Linked DNA regions of Oreochromis niloticus. The protein of the gene in region 2 purifies or fractionates together with the protein of the main gene of each other region. This does not show direct contact. Links are inferred from orthologs where the notes say so. Each region holds a gene or a part of one and is shown on either strand. Other genes may lie near its edges. The genes, in order: pdgfrb, nck1b and git1.

Region 1 (3,600 bases), on a different chromosome or scaffold from region 2:
AGTGTCCACCAGGGGATGAGTCAGAGTTTGTTCTGTGAATCTGAAAAATGAACCAATCCGTGTCACGATAACATGATGTGAGAGTGTGTAAGTATTTTAACTCAGTGTTTCCTCTATAAACAAGTTTTTTCAGATGAGGGTTGCTCAACTTTGAGTTGAAATCACAGAGGATAAATGAAACGAGGACAGAATGGGATCAGTATTTTTCAAAAGTTGTTGTTGAACTCAAAATGTTACATATCTGCACATGTGAGTTAAATCAGACTCCTGGCATGTTTTCTGCATGGTCATAATGTGAAGCACATTTGCTCAAAGCTGCTGGCATGCAGAAAGCCTAGAGAGCCAGGAAACAGCTGATGTCGACGGATTAGGTCTGGGCCAGGGGGAATGGAGCCGGCTGGGCTGCACTGCATCGGGGCCGGAGAGGAGCACTCCGCTGGAGTACATACCAGCAGCCTGACGCAAGACAGGAAAATCCCCACTTGTCAGAGTCGAAATTAAACTAAGTTTTGCAAATCTTACAATAAAGATTTGTCACAGCAGATTTAGTGTTTTATAAGTTGGTGCTGTGAAAGTAGAAACTGAATTTAAAACTATGAAATGAATGCAATGCAGTCTAGCACCATTGATGGTAAAAGTATGACATGCATGCAGTCTTCCAGCGGTTCATCTACAAAAACAATGCCAGACAGTGCCCGGAGTGAAACATCCACAGAGCCAGAGAAGATCAAAAACTTCAAAAGGACACTCCTGTCTGCAGAGGAGGAGAAGAGCATCCACAAAACACATGCCAACAACGTTTTGATTACAGCAGATGCTAATTCAAATGGTTTCATGTCAAAAAGGTCCCCTGTATGCAGAAGATGGATGTGCAGCTACCCAACCCAACAACTTAAATACCAAAGCAACCATACACAACAGTCAGGCGGGAAGGCTTTCAGGTGCAAAACACGTGTTGGAAAAGACATGTATGCCACATGTGTCACAGCCATGAAATGGCTCACAGTGCTATAATATAACTCACTCCAGCTACTAAAATCTTCTGATGAACAGGAAGCAATGATTCAACTGATTGTTTATGTCGGCTCTCAACTTCTTGAGATGAGACCAGATTGATTTTACGAGATATTTACATTATAAAAGGGAGACTGAGTCATAAAACTATAAATTTAAGGTGGTATGTTTCCTCCAAAGAGGATGCTGTTGACAGTGATAGACGCTGGGTCTGATATCAGTTCACAGCCATGGCTCTTCAATGAGCTTCTTCATGAATCAATGCAGAGAAGATTGAAAAGGGAGGAAAGTGACCGATGGTTTGGTGGTGAGGACCGCCACTCTGGGTGACTGAAGAGGGCTGTACAAACAAGCCCTTTAGCAGGGAAGCACAAAGTGGAGAGCGTACAAACAGCTTGTACTATAAACCCTACTGTGTTTGTGTGTACACTAGACCCCGGGACACCTTGTCAAATGCATTCTGTTAGTGGGAAAATAAACAATGTTAAAGTTGTCCAATGTGAAAGTGTCAAACAGTTGCTGTGTACAGAGATGCAAGCCATCACTATGTTGATGTTTGAACAGGTTGCTTACGCTCTTTCACGCAGCGTTGCAATGGCTGTTGTGTACACACACACACAAGTATGTGGGTAACGAACACCAGCAAGAGACAGCAACAACATCACGAAGACCTACAGGTTGTTCTCTTGTCAAATCAAATCAGATTTTTTGTTTAAAAAAGCTATACGAAACTTGGGTCCAGTGTTCAGGATGAGGTGCGTCTGTGTCAGATGGCTGTGAAACTCAATCTGTCACAGTGGGCTTCCCATACAGGATAAGTGAATGTTCCCCACTTTGCACGGCCCTTTTTTACTTCTGCCAGCAGATGTGGAGCAGCTGTAACTTATACTAAAATACTTGATGGTGACAGAGAAGTATGCTTCTTACCTTCAGACGAACCCCAGAAGCACAGAAGAATCTTTCCTCTTTGACCAAGAAGGTTGTCGGCCAGCAGAAGGAAATTGGAGAGACTTCCAGTGAGATGTCTCTACAGGGGCTGCTGCTTCAAATGTATAGATCCCTCTGATGTTCACTCTGAGGTTAATCTCTGCTGTCCCAGGAGTCCGTTGGAGGAGGTACTGCAGTGAGCCCGGCTGTTTGTTTAGTCAAATCACATCACCATGGGTGTCTCTCTCTCTCTCTCTCCACTCTCACACTCAGAAAGAGTGTTCTAAGAAAAAAAAAAGTTCCCCACAGAAACATGCACACACGCACACACAAACTGTGCACACTCCACCCCTGACAGATCCACACTAAGCAGAGCGTCAGTGTCCACCCCTGCTGAAGCTGAGAGAGAGCAGGACGAGGGAGAGGAGGGAGGGAGCAGTGAAACAGAGCTGAAGCAGAAAGCAAGAAGTTTCTAACAGAGTGACGAAACTTCAAAATACAAATCCAGTTCTGCTTGTTGTTCTAAGGTAGAGGCTCAGAGGTCTGAGCCGGAGCGATTTGTTTATGAATGGAGTGGAGGTGAACTGAGACAGTCTCTATTGGCAACGGCAATCTGGACCGCATCTAACCCCCTCCATAAAACAACAAACACAATAAAAAGGAGGAGAAAGAGTGAGAGAGTGAGTGAGTGGTCCAGCCAGGAGAAAAAAAAAAAGGTTTTGGCAGCGCTGATTGCACCCTGCTTTGGAAACAAACATGGAAGTCTCAGTTTCTCAGGAAAAATAACTTCCCTTATATAATCACACTCTTAAAAACAGGTATAAAAGTGGTTAAAGGGGACTTTAGTGAACTAGCTTTGTTTTTTACATCTCTTTTTATATCATATTTTTTTTCAAGTGTTTTCTTTTTCCCCTGCATGAAATAACTCAACACCTCCCACCATCCTCACCCCCTTCTTTCTCCTTTTTTTCCCTGGCCTTTTATCCTCTCTTTTATAAACACAAGCAAAACCATGTAAATATGTCTGCTCTCAATACTAGCCTTCTTCCTATTTCAATCCTTTCCCAGGATATGAGAGGATGATCTGAGATTCAGAACGCAGCACTGCAGCTGAATAAAGACCTGTTCTATCTAACAAGCAGGTCGGGGCAGACGGGGGGCGGAGGGGAACAGGAGCTAAATTGGAAACTAACATGTTCTCCTCTAATTGAGAGGGCAAATCTAAAAGACCTGCTCGCACTAATTAGAGTGCCAGAAAGCCCCCTCCAGTTATTAGATAGGAGGGGAGGAACACCACACAGGGACAGTTCCTCCTTTTATATCTTTCTAATTCTGCCTATGTAATTAGCACCTACTTGCAATAAACCTGCTCTAAATCCACTTATTTGAACTCTTGAATCTATTTGTAGGCGTTTCATTGCTTGTAATGTCAATAAAACTGTAGACCCAAAAGATAAAAAGGCAGTAATACAGCAATAACGTGCTCGTCAGTCACGTATGTAAACACTCATGCACACACAATCCTTTATCAGCATGAGATAAGACACGAACTCTGTCGAAACACCCGCAGAAATTCACCGATAATAACAGGATGCTAGAATCTTAGGGGGTCTTTTCATTTTATTATCACATGTAATTTTAGCATCTTGATACAATGCA
Region 2 (3,828 bases):
AAAAACACTGAAACTGCACACTTCTCCTACTCGACACGAGGAAGTCAAATCATTTACTCCCCAAAAAAGAAAAAAAAATAGAAAAAAAAAAACAAAACAGCAAATACAGCCGGGACAGTACACTTTTACAAAAGTTGGAAAACTTAGTCCAAACAAGAAACAATAACTGGGCACTTCCTTACGACTTTGCTTTAGTAGTTAAGCTGAAATTTCTCCTTTTTCCCCCCTTTTTTTGGTTTCAGTGTTTTGCTCATTACTCGCCTTTTTTGCCCTTTGCCAGGGCACACCAAGCAGAAGCTGTTGCTCCGTCATGTTCTGTCACAGTTAATGTATACAGAAAACGTCTGTTATTTACTCTTCAAACATCTGCATGCATGAGCAGTCGGGCACAAAAAAAAAGAAAAAAAAGAAAGAGGAAATGGAAGAGAATGTATGCAATAACAGAGATTAGGGCGATAACATGCAAAGAGGCAATTGCGGAAAAAAGAAAAAAAAATTCCCCATTTCTCAACTTCATAAGAAGCCCAAAAAAAAAAAAAAAACCAAAAAAAAAAAAAAAAAAAAACAGAAAGAAAGAAAAGTGACTTTATAAACTAGCTTCTGAGCTCTGAGGGAAATTTTAGCCATTGAGAAAAGCGCAGTTGGTATTTTACCCTGGGCTGCGAGGACAGATTTGGCTGCTGGAGGCCACTGGTAGCCGGACACTCGGAAAAGAGGAAAGGGCATAGCCAAACAAAAAAAGGATAACGCCTTCATACACATAAGATTATTCTGTCATAAAATCCAAACAAGAGCACCATTATAGTGTGGGATGTATGACTATTACAGGAGTACACAAGGAGTATATCTGAGTGAAGGAACAGTCCTCACTTCTGCACAGAAGCTCATGACATGGCAGCTGACAGGTGCAAATTTTTAAAATAGTTTGCCTAATTGCAGTTTCCATGTGTTAAGATGAAAATCAAATGCAAGCCTTCAAGTACGAAATGCTGATAAGAATGGCATCACCATTTCTTCCTGCAAGCTGTGGATGCCCTCTCTGTGACTCCAACTGAGAAGAAAGCAACAGCAGAGCAAATGCCTCTCTCTTCCTCCTCCGCCTCCTCTCACCTCCTTGAAAACTAACTTGTGACAATAATTACAGAGTAATTCTTAACCAGTCGCTAGTATTTGGTTGCAGAGACGTGCAGGCTACTCCCATAAATCGCTCAGATATAATTAACCACAAATCATCAAATAAATACCTGCAATACAAAAACCTCAAGCTGGAATAATCTGTTGAGTGTTGCACCAAATTTTGTAAAAGGCCACACAAACAAAAGCCGCAAGGGCTCGCCAGGAGTTATACAGACGAACTGCCCCATTGTGCTTCTAAGAATGACATTTAGTCTAGCTTGGGTTGTGTAAGGTAGAAACAATGTTACGAGATAAACAAAGTGTGCAATTACCCAAAATCTTGCCCAAAACAAGATCTAAGCGATCCAACTAGGTATATGTAAGCTCAAATGCGTTTTGCACGTATTATACAGGTAGATATTTATCCACAAATTGAGTTTAGATAAAAACAGAAAAAAATAATTCATTGTTGTATGTTCTCCAAGGTGGAGATTTCTCCTGCATTTTAAATCTCTAGGACAGAATACCTTTAGGTTGCGCACTACTGGTCCAAATAAAGGGATACCAAGCCAACTGGGTATCACTGGGTGAACATTGAAGTGATGGACCGGCTATGACTAATTATGGCTACTTGAAGCAAAACCCAATACTAGTGAACCACATCGTGACCACGACCAAGCGAGTTCAACTCAGTACGCAATTGAAAACTTAATCCTAAGATATAATAAGAAAAAAATAAAGCTGCATTTAAGTATAAACTGTAAAGTGGATCAAACGGTTTAATATCACTGTGGCTTCATTTAATTGTCATTCTTACAAATAGAAGTGTTTACGTGGTGCCCGCTTGAACGAAAAGAAGTATAAAGATGATAAAGAAGTGTAGCAGTTTTGGTGGAGTTTTTACCTTATAACCTGAGCTTGACAGCGTGTCACGCTAAAACGGCTAACATTAACCTGGCTAAGAAAATTCTCCCATATGCTTTTAGTGGTTACAGCCAGACTAACCGTCTGCCAGCTGGGTAACAGTATGCTGACCATGCTGGCAAGGACACTAGGTGTTTTTGTCTCTCTCTCCTTTTCTTTTTCAGTCTAGGTTAACGTTTAGCTGTTAGCTTGCGTGAGCTTTAACGCTGGAGAACCGTTATTGCAGCAGTCTGTATCACAGAGCTTCACCATCAGCGGCAGCTCAGATTCATACCCTGCTCTAGTCATACCACGTCTTACCTGATTCCTGACGGCCACCTCTTCTTATGTCCTTTTGGAAATATGTTAAAGGGTTACACACAGCAGCTGAAGATGCACGGAAACGGCATCCAGAATCCTAGCTAAACAGCCAGGGTTTTTTTTCCCCTTTTTTTTCCCCACTCCAAGAAGCTAGCCTAGCTGACGAGACGCCGTGCCCCGTTGGAATAGCATTTCTGCATCAGTGCATGTCATCGCTCAGCAGCACGGCTAAGCTAACTAGCCGCAGCTACACAAGCAGTTCAGACGCTCTCTGGGTCCCGCCTGCTGCCACGCGATTGGCTGAGGGAGAATCTGGACTCTGTGATTGGACAATGACACTGTCCGTTAATCCCACTGCAGCTGCTGGTGCTTTGCTTTCCCCTAAGCATTCGTCATGTTTTTCTTCTCTGTGAGGGTAAAGAATCGATCAAATCTCTACCATTGATAGACTTGTGTATGAAAAGAGAGATGGAATGTGAGTCTGACTATTGCATCACGTATTGTTTAATGTTTTGGTATCCAAAAGAAAGATAAGTAGTGAGAGGGACTTTAGCACAAGACCCAAACTATAATTTAGGCTAGTAAAAATTGATGTTCTGTAGTATACTTGCTAAAATAAAATACATTTTAAAAAAAATAACCAGGTGATACTATTTAGTGCAAGCTTGCCCTTCAGCAAGCATTACGTTAAGTGCTGCCTACGTGTTTTTAGTATATGACAACTGTAGTTATCTCGGGATTAATAAGCATTTCAAAGAAGTGCCCAGTCATCACCAACCGTGCAATACACAAAAACGAATCTACATAAAGTAACTCGTCATCCAATCCCATTCGGGCTCCACATGTGAAATGATGATACATCTATTAAACGTGTCTGTGGTGAAGAGACTTGCAGAGTAATTTGGAAGGCTGTGCAACTCGCTGCAGGATGCAATCTGTTTCCTGCTCAAACAGATGGGCCTGCCCTACATGTATTCTGTGATCTGCACCCAAAACAAGACTATAATACTGCATGTATAGTGGATTATAAACCCCACCTAATACTTCTCTTCACTTTTTAATATAAATTAGACTAATTAAAATAAAATATGGCATGGTGGAATGTGTTTTGAGTCACTTTCTTATTAGCTTGAGAAAGATTTTGTCCACATTTTCGCTGCAAATGGATCTAGCTTGTTGTTTTAGTCATTTTGTATTTATTCAATAGTAGTAGATTGTCATTACACAGACGGATTTGATTTACTGCTTATATTGTTGCTGTAAAAAGGGTATAATACTTGTACCATGACATTTATCACCTATTTGTGTGCAAAAAAGTTAATTAATCAATAGATTGTCATCAGCTGTGTACAGTTTCAGATCAATTTGCTCCATCAATATGCTTTCATTTCTACTGCATACGCAAAACATTAGCTTCCTGGCTTTCTGAAGTAAAATAATTTCCTAGCTCTAGCAGTCTAAGAAATGAAGCGGATCCTGAATGCCACC
Region 3 (3,828 bases), on a different chromosome or scaffold from region 2:
AAAAAAAGAAATAGGAAATGCAAAATGGCTTTTAAAAAAAGCTATAGCTCAGTTTAGAACAGCAGCCCTGTAGGCTTTAAAGGCCGCAGCAATTTAATTCCTTAATCTGTGTAATAAATATTAAAAAAAACTCCCACAGGCTAGGCTATCTGCCTGGTCTGCTAAATCAATATGAGGCTATGCCATTAAGCTATTAGAAGTGGATAGACTATTAGCAGTGCTGTATTGGTGAAATCTGCAGCATGTTGCTGCATAATGTTGCCTAAAGTTGGCCTAATTCATCAATCCAGTATAACATTTGTTTTTATACGTGTCAGCTAACCCTGCACAAAAACATATGCTACAAATGAGTGCAAGTTTTTAAAATTGTGTTACACTCCACTCTCAAACACTGAGATAACATGTTGCACACATCTGTATACTTTGGCCATTAACGGGTTAGCTTCAGGCTCATTTGGTGTATATCACAATGCATTTTAATACAGTGTTTAATTGTACTAAGTTTCAGCTTGCCGGATTTACTCCATCTTACTTCTAAATTTAACCAAACACAGCAACAACAGCAAAGCCTGACACGGACACCAACACAACATATCGACTCAACCCCGCTGTTCTCTTCTGTGAATAGTTGCACAAGAGTTTCAGTTTCCTAAACAAATGCATCTGTGCGCAATAAAGAGTTTACTATAGTGACGATGTGATTCACTGTTGCCATAAACTGTGCAGATTGCCATGGTGTGACATTAAAGGCTCCTGAAGCTTGGCTACGAAAGGAGTATCAGTCGTCCTTTGTAGCAATGCCATTGAGTTATCCCCCCAGTATGACACAAAGCTGGGTAGTAGGGAGGTGGCCTGTCACCAGGGGGCTAGGTCAGCATTTTGCAGAAAGCACTGCGTGCGTGTGTGTGTGTGTGTAAGTCGCAAGGAGGCTACATGCAGAGAGATGATGGTTGTAGAAGAAATGCACGGCTAGTAACAGGTACGCGAACAAGCCATCTACCATTGTGAATGCCTTATTTTGTCTAGTAAATAAACTAAAGCTTTAAAACATAACTAATATGTCACAGATAATGCGCATGTTGTTATTCTGCAGGTTAATATAGTATCAACGAAAGGAGTTCAACTGGGGTTTCATCAGTATGTAAAAAGTAACTCAAAGGGAACCAGAAAAGGCAAATAGGTGCTGAAGCATGTTAGTAAGTAATAATAGCAAGGTGTGCAATGCAAGGCTGGACTGCAGCATATAGACAGTTTAGAGTTATCAGGGGTCGCAGCTGTCATAAGAGCAGCTGCTGCACATGTATACATGAATGAATGCAAGCAAGGCACACAAGATCACCAATGATCAAGGGGATCGAACTGAAACAGCACGTGCATTTGGGGCTACATACGAAGGGTCTTATTAACATTGCCTCTAATCAGATTTTAACAAACACAGATGGGGCCAAAGGAGAAGTGGGTTGGAAACTAACCTAGAATTATGGATGGTCACTGTAGTGGAAATCACTACGCCCTGAACAGTATGGATGAAAGCTGAGACAGGTGAAGCTAGAAATTAACTTTGTGTTGTACTAGGTTAATGTAACTGAGGTGGCTTTTAAATGATTTTGAGGTACAACTACAGGTATGGCTCATTTCAGGTTTATGTTGAATTGTGCTCCAACTTAGGATGACTGTAAACTGAATTTACTCCTATTAATTCTCATTATTTTATTTCTTAACTTTACTGTAGATATTCTAAAATCATCAAGTTAAACAAACAGAAACTCTAGTTACGTTTTTGATACTTTACTGTATTTTTTAAGCCAAATTGTTGTTAAAGCTATTGACTGGTCGCTGACGCTTTAGCTGAATCAGCTTGGCAATAACTTGGCGTTTAGCAAAAGTTAGCTGAAGTAGCTAACGTCATAGCTAAGCTAGCAGTATAAAAAGCACAAACTCCAAAAGCCACGGGCAAGTGCTAACAATATGATAGCTGTTCATCGCTATAAATGTATTATTATATCTCAGGACATTCACTCTACCATAAATTCTTCTATCACACAGCTGCATAGTGACTCAAAATCGCCAGCTCGCTAGCCAAGCTAAGCTAACGTGTTCGGAAGTCTGTCCCGGTCACGAAAATCAAAACAAACGTCTCTTCGAGTGGGAAGGCAGCATAAAGCTGACACTCGGATCTTAAATTGCCCCAAATAAACTGCTCGTTCTCACATATGGCCGTGGTCAAATAAATATACCTATCAAGTTATTCAATGGCTTACATTAACGTTGAGCAGCTGTTAGCTAGAGATATTCTCCCGTTGTGGCAACACGCCTATTTTTTCCAGTGTTTATTTTGGGCCTAAACGACGCTTTGGAGCCCTGGCCGTTTTCCTGCTCTGCAGACCCTCTGACAATGACAGCAACTTCGGCCTTGTTCTCCCACCACGTCGCCCCTATCGACGCATTGTTCCAGTCCCATGGTCTGTTTTCTCTTTTTTTCTGTTCCTTACCTGGCGCACTGCAGTCAGCGCAGACTTCTGTTCTTTGTAGCTTTCTCGACATCTCGAAAGTGGATGAAACGGAGAGGTGGATGTCGGCGATGATGTGAATATTCGCCCGTCTTCCCCCCCGAGCTACAGACCGACGTCTGCCGTCAACCGATGCGGCCCCTGAATCCCCGGAAGCCGGGTGGTATGATCGGCTTTTCCCCCGGCCAGCTGACGACGACTGAGCTTCCCGTTAATTCCAGCGGTCTGTTCGCCCACGTTCGCTGATGAACTCCAAGACTGGATCCAAGTTATGTGAACATAGTTAATCTGTTTATATAAAGGATCTCATCTCGGAATATTGCTACAGTAAATCTGTTCCCTGCATTGCCTGCAACTCACCGAGAGACGGCAGCTCTTTACCTGACAGTATCCGCGCTCGCGCTCACTCACTCTGACACACACGAGCGCGCACACACACACACACCCAACATCCCGACAACTTAGGACAGGGAGGGACAGGGCGTGATGATAACCTTATATTCTTAAAGGTGAGGTGGTTTCGATAGAGTGGGACTTAATCACAATCTAAAATTCATGCTGACAGAAAAGTTACTTGATGTTAATCAGCATTTAGATATAAGACACACACTGCTCCATTTAAGCAGAAATATCGTGATCACCTTCTCTGACCTCTTAATGAACATTCAATGGCTGAGCAGCTTTAGCAGTCAAATGAAACATTAAAGTGCTATTGATTTATTGGATTTATCTGTTTCACTTTTCTGTCGTGTCGACAAGAAAAATCTGCTGTGAATAACGCAGAATAAGAGTAGAGGAACAAAAAGAATCAAGAAGTTTGGCTTTCATTTCAACTTTGATGAATTTTGTCTTTTGCTGTCATGTCGTGCGCTCCCCAGCCTTCTCCACAGTACGCCCACACCTCCTTTATAACACTCCTATGCTATGTGGGCCTGGTTCACTTTAAACGCATCATTTCGATTTCTTTTTCTTTTTCACAAGGCATGTGTTTTATCAGAGCCCTGACAGCGGATTGGCTGAGTGTGCGCCCATTTCATTGCAGCTTGTCAATGCATCTTTCTCAGTCACCACCGGATGGGAGGAGAGGAGGAGGATAGACGCGTTAGAGTAGGCAGGGGAGAAAGAGAGCGAGGAAGAGAAAGCGAGAGGAGGAGGAACGGGTGGATAAGGAATAAAGGTGTAACCCAATCTACTGACACAATCAAGGGAGGGCTTTTCTCCCCCCTTATCTTTATTTCTAAATGATTTCATGGGGCTTTTGCGTTTATTCTAAGCAGAGCGAGCAGGGAGCCATCCACTGTTTCTGACGCGTAAGGTT

What was found.
Region 1: the proteins of nck1b (region 2) and pdgfrb purify together in Homo sapiens (affinity purification with western blotting; 3 studies listed by BioGRID and IntAct, with this or other methods). This does not show direct contact. The link is inferred for Oreochromis niloticus from reciprocal best matches to the Homo sapiens genes NCK1 and PDGFRB.
Region 3: the proteins of nck1b (region 2) and git1 purify together in Homo sapiens (affinity purification with mass spectrometry; 4 studies listed by BioGRID and IntAct, with this or other methods). This does not show direct contact. The link is inferred for Oreochromis niloticus from reciprocal best matches to the Homo sapiens genes NCK1 and GIT1.

What each region holds. Positions count from the first base shown.
Region 1 is NC_031966.2:25,212,979-25,216,578, reverse strand, and holds the start of pdgfrb (platelet-derived growth factor receptor beta), read right to left. Parts: upstream 2,520-3,600; 5' UTR 1,942-2,519; intron 1-1,941. UniProt on the Homo sapiens protein: Tyrosine-protein kinase that acts as a cell-surface receptor for homodimeric PDGFB and PDGFD and for heterodimers formed by PDGFA and PDGFB, and plays an essential role in the regulation of embryonic development, cell proliferation, survival, differentiation, chemotaxis and migration.
Region 2 is NC_031974.2:17,862,762-17,866,589, forward strand, and holds the start of nck1b (cytoplasmic protein NCK1), read right to left. Parts: upstream 2,614-3,828; 5' UTR 2,341-2,613; intron 1-2,340. UniProt on the Homo sapiens protein: Adapter protein which associates with tyrosine-phosphorylated growth factor receptors, such as KDR and PDGFRB, or their cellular substrates. Maintains low levels of EIF2S1 phosphorylation by promoting its dephosphorylation by PP1.
Region 3 is NC_031979.2:10,581,247-10,585,074, forward strand, and holds the start of git1 (ARF GTPase-activating protein GIT1), read right to left. Parts: upstream 2,962-3,828; 5' UTR 2,871-2,961; exon of another isoform or gene 2,769-2,870; 5' UTR 2,545-2,768; coding exon 2,493-2,544; intron 2,441-2,492; exon of another isoform or gene 2,262-2,440; intron 1,543-2,261; coding exon of another isoform or gene 1,527-1,542; exon of another isoform or gene 1,404-1,526; intron 1-1,403. Other genes in the region: ankrd13b (ankyrin repeat domain-containing protein 13B), read left to right, coding at 1,527-1,542. UniProt on the Homo sapiens protein: GTPase-activating protein for ADP ribosylation factor family members, including ARF1.